2 linked regions of the Drosophila melanogaster genome follow. The protein of the gene in region 1 purifies or fractionates together with the protein of each later gene. This does not show direct contact. Each region holds a gene or a part of one and is shown on either strand. Other genes may lie near its edges. The genes, in order: tau and CG8188.

Evidence for each region.
Region 2: the proteins of tau (region 1) and CG8188 purify together in Drosophila melanogaster (affinity purification with western blotting, with the first as the bait; one study listed by BioGRID). This does not show direct contact.

The regions. Positions count from the first base shown.
Region 1 is NT_033777.3:27,647,585-27,652,483, forward strand, and holds the start of tau (tau), read right to left. Parts: upstream 3,171-4,899; 5' UTR 3,109-3,170; intron 2,319-3,108; 5' UTR 2,219-2,318; intron 2,124-2,218; 5' UTR 1,478-2,123; coding exon 166-1,477; intron 25-165; coding exon 1-24.
Region 2 is NC_004354.4:17,698,127-17,704,724, forward strand, and holds CG8188 (uncharacterized protein), read right to left. Parts: upstream 4,652-6,598; 5' UTR 4,084-4,651; coding exon 4,075-4,083; intron 3,651-4,074; coding exon 3,180-3,650; intron 3,040-3,179; coding exon 2,890-3,039; 3' UTR 791-2,889; downstream 1-790. Other genes in the region: par-6, read left to right, coding at 5,525-5,599, 6,246-6,474, 6,542-6,598. UniProt on the Drosophila melanogaster protein: Catalyzes the covalent attachment of ubiquitin to other proteins. Acts as an essential factor of the anaphase promoting complex/cyclosome (APC/C), a cell cycle-regulated ubiquitin ligase that controls progression through mitosis.

The sequences.
Region 1 (4,899 bases):
CCACGCCGCTGTCATTGTCGCCCTCTGAAATAAACCAAAAGATACATGAGGGAGGCATGGATGGATATATCATGAATCATATTGAGATAGTTAAATTTTAAAAATAAACTCTTAAATGGCTTCACTAATGGTCTTTGGTTTATCGCTTATCGATCTGAGTCTTACTGAAGCCGGGCCCCTTTTTGGATTCTCCGGCTGGGGGGCTCGTCTGGAAGGGCGGCTCGATGTCCTCCAGTAGGGGCTCGCCCATTGGATCGGGCCTCGAATTGAAGGTCTTGAGCGGGGTCACCGCGGGACCCATGACCACGTCGTCGTCGTCATCGTTGTTGTTGTGTGCACTGGCTGCCGAAAGTGGGCGTAGTTGCTGCTGCTGTTGCATGTGTTGCTGCTGCTGTTGCTGCTGCTGCTGCTGCTGCAGCTGTTGTGGTGGTTGTTGCTGTTGCGGTTGCATGGGCGGCTGGTTGAAAGGCGGTCGATTGAAGGGTGCCTGCAGCGGCTGTCCCGGCGGCGGGCGTGCAAAAGTAGGTGGCGGCGGTCGCGTCATATTCTGGGGCGGACGTGCTCCGGGTGGCATTCCCGGTGCCCCGGCTGGATTCCAAGGAAATCCGCCTGGTGGCCTTGGTGGTCCCTGGCCCGGCGGGCTAAGCTGTCCGCCGGCATTGGGCAGACGAGCCTGCTGCATATTGAGTTGCGGTGGCATGCCCGGTCGCATCGGTGGACCCATTAGCAGGTTGCTCTTGCTGTCTGTGCTGCGCAGCGGTGGTGGCCTGGCCGCCATGTTCGGCGGCATGGGTGGTCGTGGTCCCATTCCGACCATAGGTCGGGCTCCGGCGAACGGAGGACGCGGCTGTGGTGGCCCCACGGCGGGACGCATCTGCGGTGGCAAGACAAAGTTCTGTGGTGGTCGCACATACTCGGTATTGGGTATACTTTGGAGCTTGGGATTGGGTGAGGAGAGGGTGGGCCGCGAGTTGGTGCGTGACAGGGTGGTGCGATCTTTAGGTGGTGCATTATAGCCGGTGGTGTAGTCTAGTGTGGTTGGTGGCGGACGTTGCTGACGTTCATATGCAGAGTAATCGGTAGCTGGCTGGGATCTCTGTGGCTGCAGTTGACTGCGGTCATCTCTAGGTGCCTCATAGGCATTGTTCTGATACTCTGGATTCTGCTGAGATCGTATCTGCTGTTTGGAAACTGAATCTGAGCCGTAGGAGGCACTATCCGAAGTGGTGTTGCTATTGGTATAATCTGTGCTTAACTGAGCACTTGGCTGTTCTTTCTTTCGTTCCACAGATGAATCGGAGGACTCAAAAGGCACATAATCCTGCGTGGGTTGTGGTCTCGACTGCTGCTGAGGACGATCTACAGATGCGGAATTCATGACATACTCTGACTTGGACTGAGCGCGCTGCTGCTGCACTGGGTAATCCTGTGGAGAAATAATCTCCTGGCCGGAGCGATCCTTTCCCGTGCCGTACATCCTAGCGAAGGACTAGAACTTCTCGCCTGCGGTGTCGGTGCAGAAATGTGCAAGTGTCTGGTAACCCAATATGTGGCGGAGCCACTTTTTGGTGGCCAATGCCATCGATATACACCCACATGCTCCGCTGCCCCGGCAAACTGGCCCATATCATTTGCATATGTATGGCCATATATCGTTGTGGGCTTACTTTTACTTCTGCCAACTGTGGGGTTGCCAAAGTGCCAATGGTGGAGCTAAAGCTCGTGTATCGGAACAGACGTACGTATCAATATAGTTCACATTGAGTGGGTGCTTTCAAATTTGATGGCTCTTTCTGCATTTGTTTACATTTTATTGTTTTGGTATTCACTACTTGGCTACTTGGCTATATGGCTATAAGGATATTTGGGTATTTGGCGTTCGGGCGTTCGGTCTTTGGTTACCATTAGGGAATTTTGTCATGAAATCCGGTTGCCAGCTGTAACGTGACCCAAATTGTTTTTGTGGCTTATTGATTCAACAAAAGTTTTGGCAGTTCTAAGGCCCAAATCGACGGGCCACAAGAAATCGCTGTTTGATTTGTTTCGCAAAAGGGTTCCTTCCACTGACAATGATGTATGTGCAAGGTCGGCGGAATAATACATCCATTAACCTGGATCATTCCCTATGCAAATTATGCTCGTAAATCATTTGTGCATGGGCGAATCGGTGTGCGCTAAGTGCAGCTCCAAAATATATATGAATTCAAGCAAAACTCACCGCATCGGTATCACTCATATCTGAGTGGGTTACTACTGTTCGAATTCGGATCGGGGACTATGTCTATATAGACTGGTTCTCGGCACTGCCTGGCAATTAACTTAATGCGGAGAAAAAACCGAAAACTTTTGCATTAAGTTCCAGTGCTTTTTTTTTTTTTTTGGTGTGTGTTACATTTGACGGGCGAATCGATAAAATTGCACAGGACGACGAGGGATTCTTTAAACTGGAGGAGCTATGACCTCAGCACGTGCCACATCCGACTGCCAACTAAAGAGGCAACTGCAACTTGTGCCGACTCAGAGTCGGAATCGCCAACTTCCTGGCAGTAGCAAAAAAAAAAATATATATATATATAATAGTACAAAATAAAGAAGGCCTGGCAGAAACAGCAACTGCAAATTAGGGCTACAATGATTTGTGATTTATTCGCGGCTGACATAAACCGAAATTCCACACAATGTTCATGTCAACCGCACAACAACGTTCAACTCAACTGTCATTTGTGGCCAAATGGTCTTGGCCAAATTGATTATCAGCCAAGTGGAATGGGGTTGGTAAGTCAACAGTTGCACAGGTGCAAGCACAAAAGTTTCCTAAGCCCGTGGCTTGCATTTCAATTAGATTCACCCTCGGTGAAATATGGTTAACAAAACTTGGTCCTTTGGCAATTGAATTCTGGCGCCACTGCAGTAGCGATTTTTATCACACAGTCCAAAGACTATCAATTGTAGTTGCAGTTGCAGTTGGCCATAAAACAAAACAAGCGCCATGCAATGCAATTGTATCGATTTTCCTGGCCAGGGGGCAATAACTTGGCCACGTACAGCCTGAGAAGGCTAATGCACTTTGCACTTTGGCTTGAACACGGGAATGAAGGTGCAATTTACCTAGGCGTAAGTAACCACACACTTCTACTGTGACAAAATCGCGTAATAATATAATATGTTTTATATTTTCTTATATTTTTTTTTTATATATTTTTGTTTTCTATTTAATTGAAATATTCTGGTGGAGCTACGACGCCAGCTCCCTGCACTGCGTTGTGTTTGGCGCGAGTGTTAAAACTCGACTGCTTTTATTTGCTTTGAAAAATTTCGAATTACAATACTTAGAATTTGTTTTGATACGCCAACTTGGTCTGGCGGAGCGTGGTCGCTCGTAAACTTCTCGGGGCGCATAAACAGAATGTGTCCTTGCGCAGTTCAAAGCGCTGCCAGGATATATTTTTGGTGGAGCAGCCCCTTGTATTCTGGCTATATTCTATTGACATACAAATTTATTAGTGGGGCGCCGGGGAAAAATGCAAATTCAACACGCCAACAATGAGCGAATGGGGAGCCTATAACGCTGATTTTATATGCAGATTTCATTTGACTTGATTAATTTAATGGCCACCGGGGGAGGCATTTCGACGCGCATTTGTGCATTCCCATTCCCAGACCCAATCCTTTGCCCTCGACAATCGGGAGGGTGGCATATATATTTTTGTATCCACATAGAGCCAACTTGCACCGCTTGCCACGCACCTTTCCATTATCCAGGTGTTGTTGTCATAGGTTCCCCTAATTGTTGTCTATTTATTTACAAGCAGGCAGCACGCAAAACTCCGGCGCTCTAATGCGTAGACATAAAAGTAAACCTGGGGAGATCCAAACTGACGTGAGGTTAGCCAAGGATTCAGACTCAGACGTGGAAGGAGCGTAGTCCTGGGCTAATGTCTGCATAGTTCTGTAGCCTAATTTCGATTGCCAAGGTTATGGTTCTTACTCTAGGACTGAATTAGTTTGATTTCCTGACGATTCTTTGTATTTAACATAACCATAATTGAAGCCATTTTAAGTTCTCATTAAGTTCCATAAATCTGAATACAAACCTGGAAGTAAAAGAGAAAATTTTGTTTAATATAAAGCGTTTATTTTTTAATTTATCTATTTTTAAAATTCTATTAAAATTTTACTTTTTATTATATATATTTATTTTAGCGGGTTTTATATTTTTCTACTAAAACAAACGAATTCGCCTGATATTATATCCAATTTGCCGTTAGGTTGCCGTCCAAGCTAATCTAATGCAACAACCCAGCGAAGAGCTAATATCCAAACCAGCACTGCTTGCACGTAACAGCCATGTGAATTCGAAATTAACTAATATAAATATTAACAATAAGTATGCAAGGCTAAGGGCAGATTTTATACTCTCCCAACACAGCTTATGCATTAGAGTTTACCACTTTATTTGAACTTACTAAAATGGAATAATCGATTTGGTAACCATTTTAATTAGTAGAAAATTACTCAAATGTTATGTAAATCAAGTGCATTTAATCGGAAGCGCACGCTAAGCAAGGTCGACTGCTTTTTGTTGACACTTTTCCAAGGGGGGTGGTTTTGCCACCCCCTAATCGCTTTCGTTTTCCTTTCCTTCCGGCATTTGTTTAGCTTTTTTTTTGGGGGGATGCAGCCGGTCGGTGGGTGGTGGGTTTACGTTGTATCTATCGGCATGCCTTCCTTTTGGTTGGCTTCCCTTGGTCAATTTGTGTCTGCGTTTCGCTCATTGATTATTCTGTTCAGCATTCCTGTGGGGGAGGAATTCCTCATGTGGTTGCCGCCGCTCGCATTGCGCATGTTTGGTCAGAATGTCCTGCGACGCAAAAGATGAATCACAGCTCCTCCTCAGGA
Region 2 (6,598 bases), on another chromosome or scaffold:
GCGTCATACGAGCCGCTATAAGGCAGTGAAAACACGCGCTTTTCGCTCTTTTCAGCGGGAAATTGATATCCTTGCAATGTTATCACGTGACAAAGGGCCAAAATCATAGGTTACAGGCTGAAAGTGTGATTTTGAACAGACTTTTTGGCCAGATTTATGTGGAGATATTATGGGGATATATTGTGATATTTATTAGCAGGAACGCGGCAAAAGCACAACAACAATGCAATAAACACAGTGCATCCGATGGGCACTCACACACACACACAAACTCACACGCGGACATTTGGAGCCGAAGAGAGGATCGAATCGAATCGAATCGGATCGGATCGGATCGCGTTGTTTTTGTTATTTTGGAGCAGCAGCCCCAGCCAAATGGTTTGTTGCCAGATTCACAACTGATCTACCTGCTTGGCTTTGCTTTTGCCGTTTGTTATTCGCTGTTCAGTTGTTGTTGCTGCTGCTGCTGCTTTGGCTTTTGGCTTTGGCTATAGCTTTAGCTGAAATTGGCGATCGCCGCTCCCTCTTGGCCCCGCCACTCCCTCCCCCGCCCCCTTCCATTTGCCGTCACTGCCGCAGCGATCGGCATTTTCCATTTTGCGGTCGGTCCATCTGCTGGCCATTCATTCAAGTCCGACTTCGGAGAGCACGAGAGAGCGCCAAGCGCAAGTCAGTCCGAACAATCGAAATCGAACTCAGTCCGAATCTGAATCGTAGTCCGGAGAGAAGCAATACCCTAACTTCGGAGCAGGACAAGCCGCTTTGCGATCAGTTTTGTTTATTGAACCAAAGAATCTAATCGTTTTTAAGATTGGTAACTTGTTTATTGGAATTTACTTGTAATTTGTTTAAGGTTTAAAGAAAACCATTAAATGTTTAAAGTTAAAAAATGTATATGAATGTTTAATGTTTGTCCGTTTCTTAAACACAAAAATATCCTAAAAATGTATATTCAAACCCTGAAGTATATTTTTTTAATTTATGGATCCTTGCACGTGCGAGCAGCCAACTACTCATTAAAGGGTATTTCTGATTCGCCGTCCCTGCGAGATTCTGACTCTCTGCTGTGCGACAATATTTGGTTCGAGCGACAAGTTGACTGAAGGTTAGACCCGATCCGATCCGATCGGATTGGAATGTTGGCCCGTCTCGAAAGCGTTGGCGGTTAGACAAAGCCAGCTAGAGGCGGTGGGAGCGAGAGGGGCAGAGCCGCACACACCTACTCTCAAATGAGAATGTTAGTTTATCGGTGTTAGTTTTGCGAGTGTCTCATGATATTTCGCAGAATCGCGGGAATCGAGAAACTCCCCAAAACACAAATAAACTCTTCCGGTGGACAGTGGGCAAAATAAATAAATAAACTGTAAGGGATGGGGGGAGGTTGAGTGGAATTGTATGGAACGAAGCGGAACTAGGAAATGTTATTGTTATTGGCACGCGCGACGTGATCTGGAAAACTAAACTACTGTGCACGGTAAAAATTGAATGATCTGTATTGAATATTCGAATTCTAATGAAATGCATGTAAAGTGTAGTTTTTTACTTTAAAACTACATACATACATACATATGTATATTACTTACCTAAAACCAATTTCAAAAACACCTTTTCAAACTCCCTCTACGCACAAGTATCTGAATTTTTTGTAATTTTCTGGAATTTTATTCTTTTTTATTGCTTTTTACTCTTTGCCCTCGTTTTGTGTGTGTTTGTTGTGTGAGCTTCAAAAGGATGTTCGAACGAAAGGAGGGAGAGAGAGCGAGAGAGCAGCGGGCGTGTAGAATACCGGCGACATAGCAAGCGAAAGGACGAGGATACGGATATCCCATGCACTTATCACCGTGCCATTGCTTTCCAATCCGCTCCAGGCCATTCCATTCCGATCCGATTCGCGTCGAGGGTTTGACAATTTGGAAGCACTTAAAACTAAATCTCTACAGAATGTGCAATCAATCTTTTACAGTATTTCTTTAATAATTTTATGTATTTTTCGTGATTTGTGTGGGTTGGATGCATGGGTGGTGTGTGTGTCCTTTGTGTATCTTATGCCTAAGCAGGACAATTGAATGTAACGAATCGAAATTTTATTTATTTATGAACTAAGCGAATACAATTTTAAAAACACACAAAAAAAAAAAAGAAATCTAAGGGGTAAGTTTATGTTTATGAACGGGGGTCCAATACGCGGACTCACCCCAAATGAGCGATTATAGTGCTCATTAAGGTATGTGTAAGGTGATGCTTTCTAGAGAGTTCTGGGTGTTTAAGAGGTGGCATGTATGAGGCGATAATGTTATCCTTGTTTTGTTTAATCTAATTACATAAATTATGCTAGGATAGCCCATGAGCGTTAAGAAAAGAGAACTACATAAATTAATTGGGTGATGGTTGCAATCCCCATTTCTCTTGGTTGCTTTATGTTGGTTTTTGTTTTCTATATTCTAGGCTCAGTTGAAAGCGGCGTGCCACCAAAAATGTTGGTTAAAATAATCGTATATGGTAACTGGATGCACTGTTCTTTGGAGTGGTTCTTTATCTCTCTCGTTTTACCGAAATTGTTGCAGCTTTAACTTCCGTTCCGTTCCGATATTGGCCTCCAGGGTTCGGGTTTCATCGGTTACTTCGTAATTTCAGTAGCTCAATTTACTTGTTTTTTTGTCTGTTTTGTTTTTTATCAGATCAGTGTAAAATTTCATAGCGCGCCTCCTCCTTTGATTCGACCTTGCTAGCTTTGATCCTGTCGCCTTTCACCTGTTTGTAGGGTTTACGCTCGCACTCATCCATTCTTTAACATCTATCCATTCATACGTATCCGACGTGTTCTGCTACTGCTTACTACTTACTGCTCCTGGTTGATTAGCTAGTCCATGGAACTCCGCCTTATGCCTCTCATAATCTCTTCAGCATGCGTTTCTTCTCCTTGAGCAACTTCTCCTTCTTCTTGTCCTGCAGCTTCTTGTCCAGGCCCGCATGCTTCTTCGTCGAGGGTCCACCATCGTCTTTGGCATCGCCAACAGCGCCTACACCGCATTTGGCAGGCTAAAATAAAAGATATACATATGTATGAGCTAAGTGTGTAAAGCAGCGTGATAAACAATATCATATTGGGATCATTCAACACCTTATGCTAGTATTCCAATGATACACAATCATAACAGAAGGGAAAACCCCTAATTTACCTGGGCATGGATCTCTGTCATCATGCGCGCCCTCTGTGAGTAGTCATCGTATCGTTCCAACAGCATCTTGCCGGCCTCCTCGTTCAGCGCCGATTCCGGATTCGGGACAATAAGCAGGCATTTGATGGTGAGCAGAATGTGCTTGATGCCCAGATCCGGCTTCCAGTCCTTCTTTAGTGTGTTCACACAGATCTCCCCGTTGGCGGCCACATTCGGATGAAAGATCTTGGTGAGGAAGTACGCCTTGGGTGGCGTCAGCGGGAAGTCCTTGTTCAGCGTCAGTTTGACGCGGAAAATTCCAGCGGCGTACGGAGTGCCAGCAGGTCCATCGATCAATGCCTGAATATCCGTCACATCGCTCTCATTGATTAGCACCTTGATGCCTTCCGGTGGCGTGGTTTCCATCTCCTGCAGCTCCCTCATCACCTGCCTTATCGTCTGCGGCGACAGGTTCTCCACATTCGAGTATTGCTGCAAATGGGGGAATGGCATTAGTATGGAATGGCAAAAGTTTATATATACAAAAATTGATTTTAATGACAGGGTTGAGTCATTATTTCTAGTTGGAATTGTACTTATTGGAACATACGAACTTTAAAAATGGATGGCAAGTACAGTACAGTACTTGTAGGCAAGGATTATTACATACAAACTTAACTAACAAAATCACATGTCTCCACAAACAGGGTATTTATTAATGAAATTCATACTCTTAGTATGCTGGAAAGTATTTGTAAGGACGCGATTTTAAGCTCTCACTACTAAACCATTCATAAGATTAAGAAGCATCTGTTGGATAGGATTCTTTACAATCACGGATACAACTTCTTAAGAATCGTTTCGTATTATTATTATTAGAATGCTAACAATTATGTGAGGAACATGCTCATCCTACCGAACTCATGATGTCTGAATTTCCTGCTGCTGTGCGTGTGTGTGTCTGTGTTGATGCGGGCCTGCGCTGGTGTGCGTGCGAATCGCTGTCTCAAGGTTTCAGTTTCGTCAGCTTATTCCTGCAGCTGAGCTCTTCGGCTCTCGGATAGTCGCAATTTCACCGCCTTTTCCCAGCTGCCTTGGAAAAGTGGTCCCAAAATATATGAATATGTGCGTTGTGGGCTGGCTTTAACTATTCCTTTGCGTGTAGACTCCTTATGCTTCCTTTGGCCCCGCTAGTCTCCTTGTCTGTTGTTTGGGTTTATGTTTTCACACGCACTCGTTTAAAGACTATATATATATATGTATTTGGTATAGCACCTCCTCTCGAAAATCTTGATTTTTAGTTTTTCTAGCGACTTAAAATTTTGTTTCGTTGGTTGCTTTTGTTTTGAAATCGATTCGCTCAACTTTGTCGTAGCTGCTGTGTGACCTATCTCGACTCTGGCGTTCACATCTAAACAAATTCAGTTGTCTAATTGGACACTTCACGCTCGACAACAACACACAAAAACAGTTTCATTTTACAGTAACCCTCGTCGCTGGCGCTGCGCTACAATTGGGGCATATTCGTGCTGGCGTCTTGCCTGCCTTCGATTTAAAAGCGGGTTTTTATTTATTTATTTAAAAAACGTCTTTGATTAAAACTGAGCATTTAAATATAGCTAATTCTTGTCTTGTAACAGTTAAGCCTCTTTTTTCGTGCAAACAGCAGCCACTTTGCAAATGTAGCGCATCTGAAGATCCACCCAGCCCACACAAACAAACTGTCTCTACACTAACGCAGCAACATGGCTGCTCAGACTCTATCGATATATCGATATATGCACAACATCGGTTCATGCCTAAGTTACTCTGGGAAATATTTAAAAACAAACAAAGAACATACCGTTATTAAAAAAAAAAACTTATTGTTGTGATAAATTCAAAACCTTTGCTAGCTATATTGAAAACAAATTATTATTATTTCTAAGTCTTTTTAGATACTTTCATTGTTGTTTAAATCTATTGCTTATAGCATATTTGTGGTATTTTAGAAAACTGAAATGGTATATTTTGGTTTTGCATTCCCCACGGTCACTCTGGATCTATTACCATCCGATAACCGATAGTGCCTACCAATATCGAAGTACGATAGTGCCCGATAGGTTCATCCATCCATTTTTTTTATTTAATTAGTTTTAATTTAGATTTCTAACTCTAATTTATTGGCGGCCCCCCACTATCGTCGCTCCCCGCCATCGGTACGCTGCACTTTGGTTCGGTTTCGGTTCGCATCGGGCGTATCGGTTCGATTTCGATCCTGAAGATCAGATCAGAATCTGCGGAACTCAACTGCCGTGTTTTGTGTTGTGTGTGAGGAACGGAGAGGAAAACTGTCAGTGCACTCTTGATCGGGCGGATCGGAGAAAATGTCGAAGAACAAGATAAACACAACGTCCGCAACGGCGGCCAGTGACACGAATCTAATCGAGGTGAAATCGAAGGTGAGTCCTAACTTTCGTGGCCCCCGGATTCCACGCCCCTTTCTGCGGCGCTGAGCTGCTGATTCATGCGCTCAGGAATGGGATTAATAGCTTAAATTGGAGTTCTGTGCGTGGAAAGGGGGTCTTTAGTCTGAGGAGCAATGTGTCTACCAATTTGGGAACTCCTATCTGTTGAGCTCGATTGTGTCAAAGCGGCCAGAGCAGGGATTAATGCTTGGAGTGCGAGGTGTGAGGAGCAACTGGTTTCCATCTTAGAAGCACCCCAAAAGTGACAATTTGCCCTTGCGAATGCATCTTACTTGTCGGAATTCCTGAGCTCTGATATGGATTGTTGCAACACCCTTTATTGCTTGGGCTCTTTGCCTGAAAACCAATCTGTTGCGCCTTACTCAAAAACTACCCTGTTTCGTTCATTTTCTGTAATTTTACAGAGAAGGAAACTTCAGTTATTAATTAGTCAAGGTACAATTCTTCAAGATAAACTCCAGTAATAGCTATAAGGCAGTAGATGTACTGCAATTCAGTGAAGGTCCCATTAAATTAGTAAAATGTCTGCATACAATTGAATCAACAGGTGATGCTGATGAACAAACTATACGGGTTTCAAAAGATTCAGCCCCTTTACTAATCAATACGTATCCTTTAGTTCGATGCAGAGTTTCGGAGGTGGAGCTTCAAGCGAAATGAGGCGGAGCAGAGCTTCGACAAATTCGCATCCCTCATTGAGCAGCTGCACAAGCTGACCAACATCCAGTTTCTCATACTCTACATCGATCCGCGGGACAATGATCTGTTGCCGATTAACAACGACGATAACTTCGGCCGGGCCCTGAAAACAGCACGTCCACTTTTACGGGTCATTGTGCAGCGAAAGGGTGAGTATGGGTATGCATAAGATACAATACGAGCCACTCAACCACAATCTTTTCGTTCACTCTATAGATGATCTTAATGAGTACTCTGGCTTTGGAACGATGAAACCGAGAAACCTCATCGGCA